2 linked regions of the Diceros bicornis minor genome follow. The protein of the gene in region 1 interacts with the protein of each later gene in a biochemical or structural test. Links are inferred from orthologs where the notes say so. Each region holds a gene or a part of one and is shown in the gene's direction. Other genes may lie near its edges.

Region 1 (10,054 bases):
ATCTGAGAATGAGGAGAGGAGAAAAGGGTGGCAGTGAGTAGCAGCTAAATCCCTCATGCAATGACGAGCAATCACCTGGGGGCTGACCCCACCAAGTGGGGCAGGAGGCGACGACACACGACCTTCAGGGCTGGGGGGTTTCAGGAGGGGAGGGAGATGGGTCTGGGAGAGGCAGTGAGAAGCAAGGAGACCGTTGGCCTCCCACTTGGGAAGCCGCAGAAGTGGAGGCCGGGCTCCAGTTAGAGCAAGAGACAGAGCGTTCAAAGGATGGAGGACTTTTGCAGGAAGGATGGGTGTGTGTGTAAGCCTGAGCCTTGTGGGCCCAGAGGACGGCCTGGGAGTCCTGGCGCCGCGTGAGGATGACAACTCCATGAGATCACGCACACAGGGCTCATCGCCAGGCAGCCAGAAATGTACACAGTCGTTACTTTTAGCAGTCTGCTCCGAGTGCCCAGTCACCCTCCGTGTCCCGGCACCCAAGGGAAGTTACCCAGAAGGCCTGGAAGTGGCAGGTCTCCAGTAGGTCTCCGAGGTACAAAATCTGCCGGATCGGCCGTTCTTCTTGCTGGGAGGAGGAAGTGTTAAGGAAAAATGGCCTTGGAGCCTGAGGGGGCTGCTGCTGAGTCCTAGACCGTCCCTCCCCGCCCACCTTCTGTACAGAGCGCAGCACGGTTAAGGTAACCGCAAAGGTGAGATCAAGCTAACGATCTGATGATGGGGACAATGAAATCAACAACGGCCCATCCACACACTGAGATCGAGTCAACTCTTACAGAACTGAGGTGGAGAACGTGACAAGACACACTGTGAAGAAAGCAAGATGCAGAACAACATGCATAGTAGCATACCACTTGGGTGGGGGGACACCTGTATATAAGCACACACACGTGTACACATCTAGGGGCTATCTGTGGAAAGGTACCGAAGAACTGCAAACAACTATTGCCTCCTCGGAGGAGAGTGAGATGGCTGTGGGACAGGGGAGGGAGGAAGCTCTATTGCTTTTCACTGTATGCTTTTTTGTACTTTTAACAGCGTATTGTATGCCTTTTTTTTTTAAGCCACCAAAACAGACCCCTGGGGAAGGTGGGCCATCTCTCGGAAGGCAGGCACTCCCACGGACCACCTGGCAGAGCAGGTTCAATGAGTAAGCCAGCATGTCTCAGCTCAGCCGCTATCCAGCAGGTACAAGCACAGGGCCCAGCATGGATGGGGGACTCTGCCAAGTTCGTCAAGAGACGGGATACGTATAATGAAGTTCAGCTGACAATCTAGCTCTTCAGGACTCCTGCCTCTTGCCTGGCGGTCTTTACTCAGCTAGGCACCCTCATGGGAATCTTTCTAAAGCATACATCTCCCCATACCACTCTGCAGCTTTAAAACCTTCTATGGCTCCCCAGTGCCCTTTCTGAATCTGACCAAACTCCACCTTGAAATCTGTGGTGCGGCTATGGCAAACTTCCTCTACTGCCTCTAAAACACAGTACTGAGCTCTTCTTTTCCTCCAGGCTTCCCTACATACTGTTCCCTCTGCCTGGATCACCCTTCCCTGCTGCTTCACCTGACTCTTCATCTCTCAGATGCTCCCTCGTCCAGGAAGCTTTCCCTAACACCCAGACAGGGTCAGGTGCCTCCTCTGGCCCCTCTAACCCCAAGCCCTGACTGCTCCAGGCTGTCACCGACAGGGGCCTGTCTCCTCCAGTGGGCAGTGAGCTCCGTGAGGGCAGTGTCCCAGCCCCACCCAGCAGCGGGCCAAGCCCAGATCAGGCACGCAGTGTTTGTGGCTGAACTGCCAGACCACTTCCAGGTGAGTTCATCTACTGGGCCACGCCCCCTCCCCCCCACACCAGCCTGGGAGCTGGAGGGATACGTGTGCCTGGTCGATCATGCACTTGCACAGCGTGAAGTCGGTGTGGGGCAGGTTGGTGAGGGCCTTCAGCAGGATCTGGGCAGTGACCGTGGTCTGGAAAAAGGCCGGGTTGAACTGGTACCTGAGAAGGGGAACAGAGACATAGCAACAGCGGCACCTCCGGGTCCCTGGACCTCACCAGCTGCCAGGCAGGCCGCCCACTGCTTTGGCCCAGAGCTTGGCAGCTGGACATGCCTGGACTCCTATCCCAACCACAGCCCTCTCTGGTCGTGTGACCTTAACCTCCCTGAGCCTCCTTTCCTGCTCCGTATATGGGGATAGCGTGGCTAGTCAGACACACACTGTTCCGTGGATCACAAACAAGTGAGTACAGAAATAGTAGCCCGGAGTAGTGGGTATACACTTCCCTGCTGAGTGTCCCTGGACTACTGACTTTAAACTCTCTGTACGTCAATTTCTTCCCTTGCAAATAACAACGACAATAACAACCATGTCTACCTCACAAGGGCAATATAGTACCTAAGTGAGTTCACACATACAAAGCTTATAGCACCATAGCTCCGTTCAGTGAGTGCTCATGAGGCAGAGGTCATCACCAATAACAATCAAGCCACAAATACAAGTGCTGTTATCACCACTTTATAGGTGTCAAAACCGAGGCTATACAATCTGTAAAAATCACCCAGGCAATAGCCTGTCAATAAAGCACTGAGGCGGGGAGAACCCCAACATCCATCCACAGAACAACGGATAATCAGGACACAGTCGCACAGTGGAACACGATGCAGCAATGACAACATACAAACTGCAGCCACACAGACAACGGATGGATCTCACAGACCCAGTGCTGAGTGGAAGATGCCAGACGCAGAACAGCATGTGCTGAATGACTACATTTGTGTCCCATTCAAAGCAGGAAAACCTGAGCTAGGCTAATCAGGATGCATGCATGTGTGGTAAACTCACATAAAGGCAGGCCAGAAGAGCATAAGAGTGGTTACTAGAGTGGGGGATGGGGTGGTTGGCACAAAGCATATGGGACAAAGACCCAACACACTAGCAATACTCAATTTTGCAATATGGATGGTGATCACGATGTGAGTGTTCATTTATAATTACTTGCTAGACTACCTATTTGTTTTATGTACTAGCCCGTATGTGTGTCTTGTAATGAATTTTTTAAAAACCATCCTCCCCCTGCCCCAACTTCCTTGGCTTCCTAGATTTGCACACCAAGAAAAGCCACATCCTGCAGGCCACTCCAACTCCCACCCCACCCAGTGTTAGGAGTGCACCCTGCTGGCAAGAGGGTCGGGATGGAGACAGACACTCACAGCTTTAGGACAGCCAGGTTGGCTTCCAAATCATAGGCATTCTCCTTGGCCTGCGTCTCCACGTAGCGCTCCAGGGTGGCCAGATTCTCAGGATTGTACCTAGGGGGGATTCAAGATGGACACAGGAGCTGAGGTCAGTCACTTTACGGGACTAGGGTGCAGGTGGGCACTGTAACCTGCTCCTCTCTCTCTCCCTCCCTTCTCTCTAAATCTGGTACTGGTCACCTACTCTACCCAAGTCTGGAATCAGCCCTATAACCTCTAATAAAACTTATCCACATCCCAGATCTAAAGCTAAGCTCTAAAGCCCATCAAAGCCCTGGGTCATTCCTAGGACGCCTCCCCAGCCTCTCAGCCAATCAGTCATGGCAGCCTGTATACCTGGCCTCCTGGACATCTTTGCCTCCCACCCCTTGCTCCCCTCCCCAGGCCCCCACTCTGGTCCAGCCCCATCCTCTCCTGCCTGGCTTCCCCCATCACAGCCCTGACCACTCCTGGCTATCACTGTCTACTGGCCGGTTTGTCTGGACTCTGAACTGGGAACTCCATGAAATCATGACTTGCAGCTGTACTGGTCACCTCTCGTCCTCAGCACTGACAGAGTAGATTTTAGCGAACACGTACTGAATGACTGACATAAAAGGAAAAGAATGAGAGATGAAGAGACACAGTGAGAGACTGAGAAGCAGAGAGAGAAAACTAAGGGACAGAGAAAGAGTCTTAAAACAAAGAGGCAGGGACTGGGTGGAAAACAAGACTATCTCCTGCCTTTAGGCCTTTGCAGCGCTGTTTCCTGAAACGTCTCCAAGACAACAGGGAAATGCCACCTCAGGGCAAGCCCAGGACCCTGACCACCCCTTGCTGTCCCCGAAAACCTTCTCCTCCACCCCGCCTGGCCAAAAGCGCTCCCTCCGACCGGGCTCAGACCTGTCGATGCCTTTAAGCAACTTGCCCACGTTCGCTCTCATCTGCTCAAACATCGCCATGACTGCCGTCGCCTCCCACACCGGGGCTGGAGCCGAAAACCCGGCTGGCCCGGCGTCCTCGAGGACCGGAAAAGGAAGAGGCGGCGGAAACGGAAACTACGTCATTGTTGTCCCTCCAGCCAGCCCCGGGGGGTGGAGAAGGGGAAGGCTGTTGCGGCGGCTGCCACGCTTTCCGGCTGTCACGTGACTTCTGCCCCTCGGGCGCAGTTGGCGCTTGCGCACACGCTCCACCCGAGCTCGACCAACGGCATGAGAAAAAATTTCTCCTAGCCCAGTGCTCAGGCGCCGTCTCAGGCGAGGAGGCGGGGCTAAGCTTTTCCCGGGCCTCGCGTAGCCGGTTCTAGCTCCCAGGACGTGCGCGCGAACTCGCCAGGAAGGAGATGGAGCTCTAACGGCGTGCGCGCACGTCGCGTTGCGCGCGGCCGTGAACTCACGGAACTGCTGGGATGCGCGTAGTAGCTCTCCGTTTGGGCCTTGGCCAGGTCCCGAGGGCGGTGCTCTCTAAGGTCCCCTTTGCCCCAGGCCTGGGTCCCCGAGGCAGGACCGGGAGCTCCGCAGTTTCAAGCCTTGAACCTGGTCTCCATACCCCACCCTAACTCTAGGGGTAGGGGCCTGCAAATCTGTTGTGCTCTGCCCGGTGGGGGCTCGAGTGAGGGGCTCCTGGACCCCGCCGGATTGCGCCCAGTCCCCATAGGCTCCAGTCTTGTGGGTGAAGGCGAGCGCCCATGTGTGCCATCATGAGTTATGCGTGTACAGATTCTGCACACTGCAGGCCTGAATGCCCCCGCATGTGTCATATATGTGGAGGTATGTGCTCTGGGTACATCCACATGTGTGCACACAGGTATCCCGGCACGTGCACGTCGACTGGTCTGCGCACCGCACAGGGGAGTAGCACTAAGCGCGTGTGTGTGCCCCAAGTGAACAGTAATGTACGCTGCATGGCCGTCGCTGTGCAGACTTGCCATCTCTGGGTTGTGGCCAAACCCTCAAGCACTCAGCAGAGGTTCAACTGTGGTTCCTAGTCGCCGCCCAGAAACAGAACGCTGACGGGGAAGGGAGGGGGGTGCTAGGGCACCCCCCAAGTCACAATTAAGATAGTTTGCATCTGGTTTACATTCAGCTCAGGGCCCTGGAGGTGGAGAGGGGGGTCCCCTGGGTCCCAAAGCAAGCTGCCCCTCACAGGCTCTCAGGGGACAGGGGGTGGAGCCGGCTGCACAGCCCTGCGCTGGGGCAGGAAGCGAGAGTGGGGAGGGGGGAGGCCACAGCCGGTGGAGGCAAGGCGGGTGCAGGGCTTGTGGGGAGGGAGGGAGGTGCCAGCACTCGAGCCCTGAGGCCCTGCTGGCCGCTGGGCGCAGGCCCAGCTCCGGCCCCCAGGGATGGACCTCGTGGACCCCGACATCTTTAATAAGGACCCCCGGGAACACTATGACCTGCTACAGCGGCTGGGTGGCGGCACCTATGGGGAAGTCTTCAAGGTGAGGACCCCCCTCCTTCTCCATCACCCTCAAACCAGTGACCTTTGGGGTGAGGCCCAAGAAGGGAAGGGGATGCGAGAGGGTCCCAGCCCTCGGCTTTGACTCAGGGATGCTGAGGGAGAGCTCAGGCGAATGGAGCCTGCCTGACTGCCAACTTCCCCTTTCCAAGGCTCGAGACAAGGTGTCGGGGGACCTGGTTGCATTGAAGATGGTGAAGATGGAGCCTGGTGAGGAGAGGACCCAGGAGCTCCTTCCCCACCCCCACCCCCACCCCCACCTTCTGGGACATGGATCTCCCCCGTGCCCCCTCCCTGCAGCCGCCTTTTCTCTCCTGCCCCTCCTCGCAGATGACGATGTTTCCACACTGCAGAAGGAAATCCTCATCTTGAAAACTTGCCGGCATGCCAACATCGTGGCCTACCATGGGAGTTATCTCTGGTGATGAGCCTCAGATCTGACCCCACCCAGCCCCTAGCCCAGAACCCCCGTTCCTGACCAGGGCGTCCCCTAACCCGATCTCCAATCCTGGACTCGCATTTTTAACTGGGGCACCCCTAACTTAACTTCCCAGTTGGAAGCCCCTCTTTTCTGACCAGAGCACCCGCTAATCTAATCCCCAATCCAGAACTCCCTTTTCTAACCAGAGGTCCCCAATATTGATCCCTTCCTAGTAACCAAACCTGAAACCAAGTCGCCTAAAACTAATCTCTCATCATCCTGCCCTTGGGGCCCCTTAGTTTCACTCTCTGCTCCTTTAATGTAAGCTCCTAAATTCCCTGACCCCCAAATTAATATCCCATATGCCCCAATAATGACCTGTGTCCCCCAGACCTGTCACCCTGGGCACCTCTGTCCCCTCCCGACCTCCACAACCTTTGAGAGCTCTGCCCTCTCTCCTGGCTTAGCGTGGGACAGCAGAGGGTGCCCTGGGTTAGGAGCCCAAAGACCTGGGTTTGAGTCCAGTTGACCCTGAGTATATATTTCCTCTCTGAGCCTCAACTTGCCCATCTGTAAAATGGAAGTGGGGTGTTCTCTCTGGTGGGCAAGGGGAGGTAGAGAGATGACAGCTGTTATATTAAAGCTCCTGTTGAACTAGAACAAGACAGTGAGCCAGGGGCTGTCCTATAAGTAATAATTTATTACTGCTGTTGTTATTATTATTATTATTGTTATTATTGTTACTCTTGAACTGTTGTAGGCTGCAGAAGCTCTGGATCTGCATGGAATTCTGTGGGGCTGGTTCTCTCCAGGACATCTACCAAGGTGAGAGGAGGGGTAAGGGCATCCAGGCAGCCCCTGCCCCTCCAGTCACCTCTCCTGTCTCTCTGTGTCCCTTTTTTCTGGTCCGTGTGTCACACAATGAGCCCCTCTTCTGGGCCTGGCCTGGATGATGCTGGGGATGCTGTGGTGACCGAGTGGGCCCTAGGCCCTGTCCGCTGGGACTGGGCAGCCCAGCCTTAATCTTTCTGCGTGTGGCGATCCCTGCTGCTTCCCCTCCGCGTCTTCCTCTGTGTCTGCGTTTTCTCACCAAGGTCCACGCGTGTGTGTGAGTATTGCTGCGTTTCTGGCTTATAGTTGGTGCCCACGTTTTCGTTGAATGCGTGAATGAGTTTCTGATTTCTCTCTCGCAGCCTGCTTTTCATTCTCTTGGAGAATTTGCGGGTGTGGGTGGGGTGGGCTGATCACCTCTCAATTTCTGATGCCCGCCTCTGTCTTCGACCATCTCCCTGTCTCCCTCCAGCCCAAGACCTCAAATGTCAGAAAAGGAAGGACTTCATTAAGAAGTCCTCGGGGGGAAACTGAGGCCCACAGAGAGACAGTGATTCACGGCCGGTCTGTCAGACCTGGTCTCTGACCCCCTCTCTTTGTCTGTTGTCTGTCTCTCCAGCCCTCTGTGTCTCTCTTTTTCTCAATATCTCTGTCTTCCTACTTTTTGGTTTCTGACCGTCTCTTTCTTTCTCTTTCTCAATTTGGATCTGTTCCTGCTTCTCTTTGTGTCTCTCTCCCTCTTTCCCTCTCTCCCTCTCCCCCTCTCCCTCTCCCCCTCTCCCTCTCTCCCTCTCCCCCTCTCCCCCTCTCCCTCTCTCCCTCTCCCCCTCCCCCTCTCTCCCTCTCCCCCTCTCCCCCTCTCCCTCTCTCCCTCTCCCCCTCCCCCTCTCTCCCTCTCCCCCTCTCCCCCTCTCCCCCTCTCCCTCTCTCCCTCTCCCCCTCCCCCTCTCTCCCTCTCCCCCTCTCCCCCCCTCCCCCTCTCCCTCTCCCCCTCTCCCCCCCCTCCCCCTCTCCCTCTCTCCCTCTCTCCCTCTCTCCCTCTCTCCCTCTCCCCCTCTCCCCCTCTCCCCCTCCCCCTCTCCCTCTCCCCCTCTCCCTCTCTCCCTCTCCCCCTCCCTCTCTCCCTCTCTCCCTCTCCCCCTCTCCCCCTCTCCCTCTCTCCCTCTCCCCCTCCCCCCCTCCCCCTCTCTCCCTCTCCCCCTCTCTCCCTCTCCCTCTCTCCCTCTCTCCCTCTCCCTCTCTCCCTCTCTCCCTCTCTCCCTCTCCCTCTCTCCCTCTCTCCCTCTCTCCCTCTCCCTCTCTCCCTCTCTCCCTCTCCCCCTCTCCCTCTCCCCCCCCTCTCCCTCTCTCCCTCTCCCCCTCTCTCCCTCTCCCTCTCCCCCTCTCTCCCTCTCTCTCTCTCCCTCTCCCCCTCTCTCCCTCTCTCTCTCTCCCTCTCTCCCTCTCTCCCCCTCCCCCTCTCCCTCTCTCCCCCCTCTCCCTCTCCCTCTCTCCCTCTCTCCCTCTCCCCCTCCCCCTCTCTCCCTCTCTCCCTCTCCCTCTCCCTCTCTCTCTGCTTTTCCTCATTTTGCAGCGTCACATCACCTCCTGCTCAGAGTCCCCCCATGGCTTCCATTTCCCTCCGAAGAGAAGACCAAACTCCTCGTCCTGCCCCAGAGTCTGACCCGCCCCCCTCGCCACCAGCCGACTGACCTCACCTCCTGCCACTTTCCTACCCTGAACTCCACTCCACTCACTTTGCTGCTTTCCAGGCCCGCCAGACACTCTGCCACCTCCCGGCCTTTGCTCTGGCTCTCCTTGTTCCCCCTTGGAGCCAAGCAGCACTGCTCACAGCTTCACCCTGTCACCTCCTTAGAGCAATCTTCGCTGACCACCCTGTGTAAAATGTCATACCCCTTCCCACACATATTTCCTGTTGTCTTTTCTTGCTTTATTTTCCTTCTTACTGTTTATTAGCGTCTCACGTACCACATCTTTTACTTATTGATCTTGTTTACTGTCGGTCTCCCCATCTGCAGTGTTCTCTCCACAAGGGCAGGGATCTCTGTCTCTTTCATCCGCAGCTGTATCCCCCGTGCTGACCACAGGGCCTGGCACGCAGTAGACAAGCAGTAAATATCTGCTGAATGAATCTGTCTCCCCGGCCTCTGGTTCCCTGCATTGCTGCCTCTCCCTGTGGCTGACCACCCCTCCGTCTTCCCCTCTCGCTTGTCCTGTCCTGTTTCCCCTTCCCCATGTGGCACCCTCTCAGCCAGTGTGAGTGGGGGCCAGGGGCTCTTGGGCCCGTGTTGCCTGAGTCCCACCCAACACCGCACTGGGGTGACCTTTGCAGTGACAGGCTCCCTGTCAGAGCTCCAGATCAGCTACGTCTGCCGGGAGGTGCTCCAGGTGAGGAGGGGCCTGGTGGGCCTGGGGGGGTGGGGCAGGACCCTGCTCCAGCCCCCAGGCACTCACGGCCCCATGTCTACCCTCGTCCCCAGGGCCTGGCTTATCTGCACTCACAGAAGAAGATACACCGGGACATCAAGGTGGTCTGGGGGCAGAAAGGGGGCCTTGGTGGGTGGGGGGCTCATGAGACAGGAGTGCTGTTGAGCTGTGGGGGGGTGGGGGGGACCAGGGGGTGGAGGCAGTGTTGGGCTGGGGGGTGTCTCTGATAGCCTCTAATCTCCCCTCCTGTCGTCAGGGAGCCAACATCCTCATCAACGACTCTGGGGAGGTCAGACTGGGTGAGTGTGGCTGGTGGGGGTCGGCAGGGGGCCTGGCTGTGGGCGCGAGGGGAGCAGGGACCCCAGGTCACTCTGTCTCTCCCTCCGCCTCTAGCTGACTTTGGTATCTCGGCCCAGATCGGGGCAACACTCGCTCGACGCCTCTCTTTCATTGGGACGCCCTACTGGTGAGGGTGCCTGGCGGGCAGCTGGTGGGGGGCAGCGGCTTTTCCCACGCCGGATCTCTGGGAATCTCCTTCCTGGCGCCTTTCCCCTGCTCTGCCGTTCTCTGTTGACTGTTCTGTCTTCTCTTGAGTCTCCGTGTACTGAGGTCTCTCTGGGCCCTCTCCACCTGTTTCTCTCAGTGTTGTGTTGATTTTTTCCTGATCTCTCTGTCTCTCCGTGTCTGTCT
Region 2 (9,490 bases), on another chromosome or scaffold:
CTGAGCTAACATCTGTGCCGATCTCCCTCTACTTTATGTGAGATGCCGCCACAGCATGGCCTGACAAGCGGTGCCTCAGTGTGCGCCCAGGATCCAAACCCGGGCCGCCAGCGGTGAAGCGCGAGCACTTAACCGCTACACCACGGGGCCGGCCCCTACGTAATATTCTTGATTTTCGTCTTGGCCTGCAAAGCCTAAAATATTTACTCTCTGGCCCTTTACAGAAAAACCTGGGTGACACTTGGTCTAAAGGGTTGCGTAGAACCGACTTCTTTGAGATAAGTGTGAGAGGGAATCAGTATGCCCTAGTGGAAGGATCACCCTGCTCAGAATTTTACTAATGACACTCCAGAGTGCTCTGAAATCCAAGGGAAACGGGAAAATTTGCTTTCAGCTCTCAAGCAGCGAAGTGACAAGAAAGCGGACATTTTATAATAGAGGTGACAGAGCAATTAAAACTACATTACAAAATGACAAGGGGAACATGACCATACTTTAAAACACTGGAATAAAGTAGGCCAGTGCTTTCTGTAGTAGTCAGCAGAGCTTCTGGATATCGTAGCTAAGCCTAGTTCAGAGGTATCACCCTATGAAAGAAGTGATTATTCAGTTGATATTTTAAATAGTTTGGTATGGAAAATTATAATGGGGATACGAACATTATTAGTATTAGAGTAGCAAAGTAATAGGAGGGAAAAAAGAAAATTATCAGGGGCAGGAAGAAGGGTCAGACGCTTGTTCTGGTGTCCTCAGTAAGGCAGCAATCTACAACGATTGCCTGGCTTTAACCATCACCTGAAGGGTTGGACCTGCTTAGACAGGGGAGAACAAAAAGTCAGCAGTGGGTCCCGGTTGTGTTTTCTGTACAGAGCTAGCCTCAGGGCTAGGAAGTAAGGAATCCGGACAAGTTGCTCAAAAAGCCTGTCAGTCCTTTGAGTCTAGCTTGTAAATATCTTAGAAGATGAGTAAGTATAATGCCATCTGGAAACCCTGGGAATGAGCAAGCTAAGACAGAATCACAAATCTTTATGTTACAGCCCTTTTTTAAATGCTTCCTTGTTGCTTCTCCATTCATTTCCATTTTGTTCTCTCTTAACATCTAAGAACATTTTTTGGAATTTTTTTTAAAGCTTGTCTCAGCTGTGCTAAGGAAGAATAAATGAAAGTACTTAAAATAACTTTTTATTGTGAGGGGCCAGCCCAGTGGCATAGTGGTTAAGTTCCCATACTCCGCTTTGGCAGCCCAGGGTTCACAGGTTCAGATCCCGGGCACAGACCTATGCAGCACTCATCAAGCCATGCTGTGGTGGCATCCCATATACAAAACAGAGGAAGATGGGCACAGATGTTAGCTCAGGGCCAATTTTCCTCAGCAAAAAAATAAAATAAAAATAAAAAAGAAATAGAGACTCGTTTAAAAAAAATTAAAAAAAATTTTATTGTGAAAAATTCCAAACATATACAAAAGTAGAATAATATAATATAATTAACCCCACACACATACACATCATGTCACCCAGCTTCAACAATTATCAACACAAGGCCATTCTTGTTTCATCTTTATCTAATCCATACCCTATTCCCTACTGGACTATTTTGAAGCAAAAGGAGAGGTATTTTGATTCTTTTTTTTTTTTTTTGTGAGGAAGATCAGCCCTGAGCTAACATCCATGCCAATCCTCCTCTTTTTGCTGAGGAAGACCGGCTCTGAGCTAACATCCATGCTGATCTTCTTCCACTTTATACGGGACGCTGCCACAGCATGGCCTGACAAGTGGTGCGTGCCAGGGATACGAACCCAGGCCGCCAGCAGCGGAGCGCAAGCACTTAACCACTATGCCATGGGGCCGGCCCCTTGATTCATTTTTAAGAGGAATTTTTAAAGAGGGGAGCATGGCCCTTTGGCAGCAGAATGGTGGTGGTATCTGAAACCCAAGCTAGGGGACAAATCCAACCGCTTCTCCCTGTTCCAAGATTGATATTCCTTTCTGGTGCTAGAATTTACTTTGGAGGGCCTCATTTTCACTATCAGCAAAACAAAGAAAATTGACTAAATTATAGGCAGTTGTGTAACAGTGAAATGAGACCTTGACTTCAAGTCAAAAGACCTGGCTTAAGAGTGCCAGCTCTGCCTCTTGCAAATTATATAACTTACAATAACTTATATAAGCAAGTCACTTAACCTCTCTGAGCTTCTGGATCCTCTGTTACAGGGTATTTCATGGGACTTTGGTTAGATTAAGCAAAACAATGTATTATGTGAAGTTCTGTGAATTGAAAAGCACTTATAAATCACATATCACGGAGTTCTTCAGTTAAGTAAAAGATGACTGAGATTTGAGTCTGCCAATTAGGAAAACAGTGATGCTACTGACAGAAAAGGGGGAGCTGAAAGGCAAAATTTAATCCAAATGGAAGATTTTTTTTTTTTTGTGAGGAAGATCAGCCCTGAGCTAATATCCGTGCCAATCCTCCTCTTTTTTTGTGAGGAAGACTGGCCCTGTGCTAACATCTAGTGCCAATCCTCCTCCTTTTTTTTTTTCCCCTTTTTCTCCCCGAAGCCCCAGTAGATAGTTGTATGTCATAGGTGCACATCCTTCTAGTTGCTGGGACGCGGCCTCAGCATGGCCAGACAAGCGGTGTGTTAGTGCTAGCCCAGGATCCGAACCCAGGCTGCCAGCAGCGGAGCACTCGCACTTAACCATTAAGCCACGAGGCTGGCCCCTCCAAATGGGAGATTTAAACAGAGAGTGATATGGGGCTAAACCTTAGGTCCAAATATCTACTTTGAATACATTTATTATGTTAATAAAAGGGGAAAAAAATCACATAGTCTCCTTACCTTCACTAAAATAAATTTTTAGTTTTCTCTGGTTTCTTCCCATCGTTATCCACCTACATTCAAAAACCATTTACTAGGTGTATATTATGTGATAGGCACTGGGAATACAAAAAATAATACTACAGTCTGCCTCCAAGATGCTCAGATTAGGAAAGGAGAGACACATAAAGAATTACAATAGCATGTGATAAAAATTAATTTAGGTGTTTGCATAGGGTGTGGTCAGTTTTTGTTCTACTTTTAGAATATATGTGTTTTGAAGTCACCAACAAAGGGATGACCCCTAAAGCCTTCATGAAGATTGGCCTACCAAAGGAGAAGCTACCAAAAGAGAGAGGTTGAGGACTGAGTTTCTACACTTTGAGGCTGGACAAAAGAGCCACAGAAAGAGACTGAGAAAGTGTATTTGGAGAGGTAGAAGAAATTACGTTAGTGTCCCAGGAGCTTAAAAGAAGAAAAAACAAAAACAAAAGTAGTCTTTCTGGAAAGAGATTTTCAACATAAACGCGTAGAGCCAGGTAGATCAAGGAAAATGATGGGATCAATGGAGATCAGTGATGATCTCCAAAGGCAAGTTTCAGGCAAAGTAAGGGTAGAAACCAAATGAAGAAGGCTGGGCAAGGAGTGGGTGATGATGAAGTGGTAAAATCTGGCAGTGAAAAGTAGCTAGCAAATCAAATGGGAATTATTCTCCCCACCCTCATCCACTCATTTTAAGATCTCCGTGTTTGTAGGCAATGGAGGTAGAAGCCAAGAAAGAGGCTAAATAACAATAATAAAAAACTCTTATATGATGCTTAATATGTGCCAGGCACTATTCTAAGTACTTTACATTTATTAGCTTGTTTAATAATATATGAGGCATGGATGGATGATTAAGTAACTGGCCCAAGGCCACTCAGCTAGTCAACTGATTAAGCCAGGAGTGGAACCCAAGCCATCATTTTCAAATTCTGTGCTAATCAAACCTGAGACTAATACAACATGAAAGTATTTGGAGAGAAGATGAAAACCTGTAATGCTGAATCACAAAAGGCAGTAGACCTTGACATTTCCCCTTTAGTTTACCCAAAGATGGACATCACCTATCACCCTACAATCTAGGATATGTTCAATCTGGGGAGGAGGGAGGGTGCAAACGGCCAGAATGCAATTCCACTGACAGAGGGATCTAAGCGTGGGTTTGTACTGCCTGCATCTCCCTTTTTGGACATACTTTCTTGTCTGTGCAGTTACTTTCTTGTCTGTCCAGTTTCGGGGGTGGTGCTACCAATAATCCAGCACCAGTTGCCTGAGGTTTTCTTCAGTAGTCATTCATTCAACAAATATTTGAGCATCAAGTCAGGGCCAGACATTTTGCTAGGCCCAGAGGTGAACAAGATAGACAAGATTCCCGCTCTCTTAAAATTTACATTCCAGTGGGGAGGACAGGGGTGGGCTGGTAGACAGGCTAGAGGGCACTGCTGGAGCGGGGTAAACAAGGGGGAATGGAGGGAGGTTAACTCGGAGCAGCAGGCAGAATCCGGAGCAGGCGAGGCCTTCAAGCCACGCCCCAGAGGCGTTTGCATTTTATTTGCAGTAATTCAGCGCCAGTGATGGCTAGATTACCCCAGGCTGTAGACTTCCTAAACCACTTAATCCTGCCAATACAACCTTCACACCCTATACTTGTGCCTGTCGGGTCACCTGGCCACTCTGGGTCCCTTAGCCTACCAGGCCACCTCGGGCCCATCTGCCGGTCACCTAAGCCCCCGCGGTCTCCTTCCTGAGCCACCTCGGCCCATCGGGGCCTGTCCTCCCGTCGGTCTCCGTTAGCGCGGGTCCCCTTGGGCCCCTCGGCCGGCCAGGTCACCTCAGTGCCACGCCTCCCAGGCCGCAGATTAGGCCTGCACGTTACGCTTTGTTCCCAGAGCAGGTTTTCGAAAAGCCGCTCCCTCTCGAGTCCAGCTGTTTTCCTGCCAGCTCAAAGAGACCCGGCAGCTGCAGCGCCCCCGGCGGCACACCGCCGTCCAGGAAGGGAGTGCCCGCCTCCGCGACCTCCGCCTCCGCCTCCTCCCGGAACGCGGGAGCGGGCGAGAGCCGCGCACGCCCGGACGGTCACCACCGCGCTCCTGATTGGCTGCGCTGCTTGACGTCACGGGGAGGGCCCCGGCGGCAGCTGGGAGCCGGGGGCTGCGCGTGCGCAGACGGAGCGTGCTGAGCAGAGGGGGAGGTGGCCGGGTGCTTCTCCCGCGTCCGCCATTTTGTTGCTGTGGCTGTTGGGAACGGGCTGGGCAAAACCGCCCCGGAGGCGCGACGCTCCCTGGAGTTTAGTGCTTGGAGTGGCGGCGGAGGTCGGTGCAGAGCCGTAGGGGCGCGAGGCCGGCGCGTTCCAGGCCAGAAGTGACTGGAGCGCACCCCTGGTACGCTGGGCAGCCCGAGACCCCGGGGCGGCCTCCGCTGCGGCTCGGCTTCGCCCGCCCCGACCCCGGGCTCTGCCCCGCATTCCCCGAGCCGGCTCCCTCCTTGAGGCGACCCCGGAGCAGGCGGGCGGCGGCGGCGGGGGATGCTGCGGGCCCGGAGCCGAGAGGAAGGTGCTGGCTCGGCCTTGTAAGCGCGCCTCGAGGTGTGTCGAGGCCCTTCTTCGGCCCCAAAGCCGTCTGTCGGGCAGAGGCGACCAGAGCAGGCGAGAGCAGCCGCGCCCCGACCCGCCGCAGGGCCCCGTTCCGACACCATGTCCTCCGCCAGGTTCGACTCCTCAGACCGCTCCGCCTGGTACATGGGGCCGGTGTCGCGCCAAGAGGCACAGACCCGGCTCCAAGGTCAGCGCCACGGCGTGTTCCTGGTCCGCGACTCCTCCACCTGCCCCGGGGACTATGTGCTGTCCGTGTCCGAGAACTCGCGGGTCTCCCACTACATCATCAACTCGCTGCCCAACCGCCGTTTTAAGATCGGGGACCAGGAGTTTGACCACTTGCCCGCCCTGCTGGAGTTCTACAAGATCCATTACCTGGACACCACCACCCTCATCGAGCCCGCGCCCAGGTAGGCGCGCAGCCCACCCCGACCGCGGAGGAGGGTCGAGAAGGGCCGGGTTGGTTCGCTTGGGGTCGATCGAAGAGGGGGCGGGGGGTGTGACTGAACCTATTTGTCCCCATTCTGAACCAAATTATTTTCCAGAAGGCATTCCGAACGGAAGGCTACTGTCAGGATCTGGGTCACTGGGTGAGGGGATGCGTTTTAAACGTGCTTAACGGCGATTGCATAGTTAAAATGTACGCTTTTTGTTTTTCGTCGCGTTCTTTATTTGGTTATCATAATAAAGCAGGGTGGTGGTGGTGGTGTTTTTGGGCTATAGACTTTGAGAATCTGAAGATAGCCGTGGCATCCCTCTCCTCCAAAAATGCACGTACGCACAAGTGTGCACAGCATTCAAGGTTCTTGGACTCCCTGCAGATGTGTGCACTCCAGGTTACTGCAGATCAAGAACCCTTGGACTGCAGCCTTTGAAATAGTCGACAAATGAAAATGCTTTAGCGTTTAAAAACAGAAACCTTTAACTGAAATTTCAACTATATATTGATATCTTGATGCCAAGTTTGAAATAAGCCAGACACCTGTTTTATAATGTATTAATTACAAAATTTTAAAAGAAGGTGCATTGGCTTCAGCGGGAACATTTTTTTGAATTTTTATTTTATAGTTTCCTGCCAAGATGGACCATTAATAGGCTAGAAATTAATTTGGTTAAATTCCAAGGAGGAATAAGGCTAAGATGTTACTTACTAAGGGAAATTTTTGAATGACAGTTATCTTAATTCTATTCTCTTTTGTAAGTAAAATGCATTTTTTATTTGATTATTTGCTTTAATTTGTCTTAATCAGTATTCTGTCAGAGGTTTCTTTTATTTAAATTGTGCCAAATTTGAGCTGAAGAAATTGCCTAGAATTTTAAAAATAAAAAGTATTTCTTTGCCTAATTTGTTTCTTAAGCATCTATTTAAATGGAGAGGATGCTAATAAAGATGTTTCAGAATGAGATGTTTCTGACTTTATAGATTTTGCTGACAAGATATCTCTGAACTTTAAACATTGAAAGCTATCATAATTAATTATGGAGCGTCCACTGGATGCCTAAGTGTTGCTTCTGTGGAATAGATATAGAGAGGAAACAAAACCATGGTATTATAATGACTGTACTAGATTAACTACTGAACTAAATGGACTTTAAAAAATGGGAGAAAGTGATTATAAATCAAATACTGTATAACAAAGATGTAGACCCCAGGAATCTGATTGGTGAAACCTCCAGGTCCCCAAAGATGCTGGTAATTGGAGTCAACTTTGAGCACAATATAATTCCAATATAAGGGGTTGGGGAGAATCTTAGAACCCACTGTAATGAGATTTTTAATGTGTTTAAGTAAATTACTTTACTAACTTGCGGTGGTGAATGATGTCATTAATTTCAGGCATTTATTAAGCCATGTTATGTGCAGGGTATTGTGCTTTCTTTGAGGTGACAGGTACTGTAATACAGCTGTCTCAACAAGTATGAGTAAATGGCTTGATCCCCTTCTAGAAGGAGAAAAAGGGAGATGCTGCACTGGCTTCCCAGTACCCACAAGAACGAATCCAAATTTTCCATACACTGGTCTTCCCAGGTAGCAGGCGGAACTTTCTGTCTTTGATGCGTGTCCTCGCTCCCTCTCATCCTTCCTTTACTGCAGCCTCACGAAGGCCACTCACTCAGTCCCTGGTAGCCATCCCTACACACCTCCTCACAGCTTTGTACCTTTGCTCAGGCTGTTGGCTCTTCATTGACAGCGTTAACTCCACTCCACTCCTGACCAGTGAAATCCTACCTGTTGTTCCAGGCCCCTCACAAATAATAGGACCTTTCTCTGACCCTCCCCCTCACATTCAGCTGTAATTGTTTCTCCTTCTCTGTGCCTTACGCCTGAGGCCTGTGGCTGTAATTTACTTTTTAATTTTCCCTGATATCTTGGAGGGTGATCACAATGCTGGTTGAATTAGATCCTGACTTGATTTGCTTTGTTATACTGCGTCTTTGGGTTGCATCTGAATTAATGGATTTGGAGTTCATGGATTTGAATTTCAGGAAAGCCTGAGATTCATGGATTTGGTTTGAAATGTTTTTAGCCTTTGTAGAAAACTAGAGGCTAGTAAAGCCTTGGCCAAATGCAAAAATCAATATAATGCTTCTTCACACCCCAAACAGGATCAATTAAGTGGTTTAGCTTTAAAAAGTTTCATGCTGGGCCGGGGCCATGGCTTAGCGGTTAAGTGTGTGCGCTCCACTGCTGGCGCCCCGGGTTCGGATCCCAGGCGCGCACCGATGCACCGCTTCTCCGGCCATGCTGAGGCCGCGTCCCACATGCAGCAACTAGAAGGATGTGCAGCTATGACATACAACTATCTACTGGGGCTTTGGGGGAAAAAATAAATAAATAAAATTAAAAGTTTCATGCCCCTTGGCTAGTAGTTCCTTTTGCTTATCGAAAAGTCAGAATTTAAGAACTGGTGCTTGTTTTGTTCTGTCTGATCTTTTTTATTGGACTCTTCCTTAACTTTTAATTTTATATTTTATTAAAATACTTTGGGGGCCGGCCTCGTGGCGCAAGCGGTTAATTGCACGCGCTCCGCTGTGGCGGCCTGGGGTTCGCCGGTTCAGATCCTGGGCGCGCACCCACCGCACCGCTTGTGAACCCATGCTGTGGCGGCGGCCCATATAAAGTAGAGGAAGATGGGCATGGATGTTAGCCCAGGGCCAGTCTTCCTCAACAACAAAAAAAAGAGGAGGGTTGGGAGATGTTAGCTCAGGGCCGATCTTCCTCACAAACAAAAAAAGATTAGAGGAGAATTATATCCCAGTGATAGGTGCTAGGAAAGATGGGTGACAGACATATTTTCTCCGTCATGGAACTTATATTTTAGTGAAGGAGGCAGACTAAAAAGTAGAAAAAAAAATACTTATAAGATTAATAAATGCTATGAAAGAAATAAACCTAGCCTGAGAGAATATAATAGAAGGGACCTACCTGAGGTGGTGTGGTCAGAGAAAGCATGAAACTACCTAAGGGTAGAGAAGAAGCAAGCCTTGGGAAGGCTTGTGCTAAAAGGAGGGTAAGAGCCTTACAAGCATAGGGAGGAGCTTACACAAAGTCCTGAGGTGAGAAAGACAGTCTTTGTTGGGAGTGTGGTTCTTAAAGAAGTGGCTCATATAAGAAGAGTTTGGAGATATGATGGTCAAGGCAAAGAAATGGGATTTTATTTAAAGTGCAGTGGATGCTGTGGAAGGAGTTTGAAGCAGGGGAGTGACCTGGGACTGTTACTGTAATCCAGGTGTAAAATGATGACTGATGACATGTGTGTCATAGGTCATATAGATATCATATAGAGTGACAGAGCTATGGCTTGGAGGTGCCTATTTTGATGTTTCTGATGGGGGAGGGAATGATGGGAGAAGAGAAAGGAAGAAACAAAGATGACTTGGTATATTTGTAACTTTTGAGTCCTGTAGGTTTATCTTATTAATTGCTTGCTGTATTTGTGGTATTCCTGTAGTGGATTTTAAATTTAACCCCCAAGAAGTATCGTGTCAGGTGGCTGTTTGTTGATTTTGAATGACACTAAAGGATTCTGTTT

What was found. The genes of interacting proteins can lie anywhere in the genome.
Region 2: the proteins of MAP4K1 (region 1) and CRKL form a complex in vitro, tested with the Homo sapiens proteins (2 studies listed by BioGRID). The link is inferred for Diceros bicornis minor from reciprocal best matches to the Homo sapiens genes MAP4K1 and CRKL.

Annotation. Positions count from the first base shown.
Region 1 is NC_080773.1:12,765,055-12,775,108, reverse strand, and holds the start of MAP4K1 (mitogen-activated protein kinase kinase kinase kinase 1), read left to right. Parts: upstream 1-5,437; 5' UTR 5,438-5,569; coding exon 5,570-5,668; intron 5,669-5,837; coding exon 5,838-5,895; intron 5,896-6,015; coding exon 6,016-6,106; intron 6,107-6,866; coding exon 6,867-6,931; intron 6,932-9,269; coding exon 9,270-9,325; intron 9,326-9,417; coding exon 9,418-9,465; intron 9,466-9,620; coding exon 9,621-9,663; intron 9,664-9,757; coding exon 9,758-9,830; intron 9,831-10,054. Other genes in the region: EIF3K (eukaryotic translation initiation factor 3 subunit K), read right to left, coding at 491-565, 1,871-1,991, 3,205-3,303, 4,132-4,190. UniProt on the Homo sapiens protein: Serine/threonine-protein kinase, which plays a role in the response to environmental stress. Appears to act upstream of the JUN N-terminal pathway.
Region 2 is NC_080774.1:30,943,457-30,952,946, forward strand, and holds the start of CRKL (crk-like protein), read left to right. Parts: upstream 1-5,045; 5' UTR 5,046-5,555; coding exon 5,556-5,866; intron 5,867-9,490. UniProt on the Homo sapiens protein: May mediate the transduction of intracellular signals.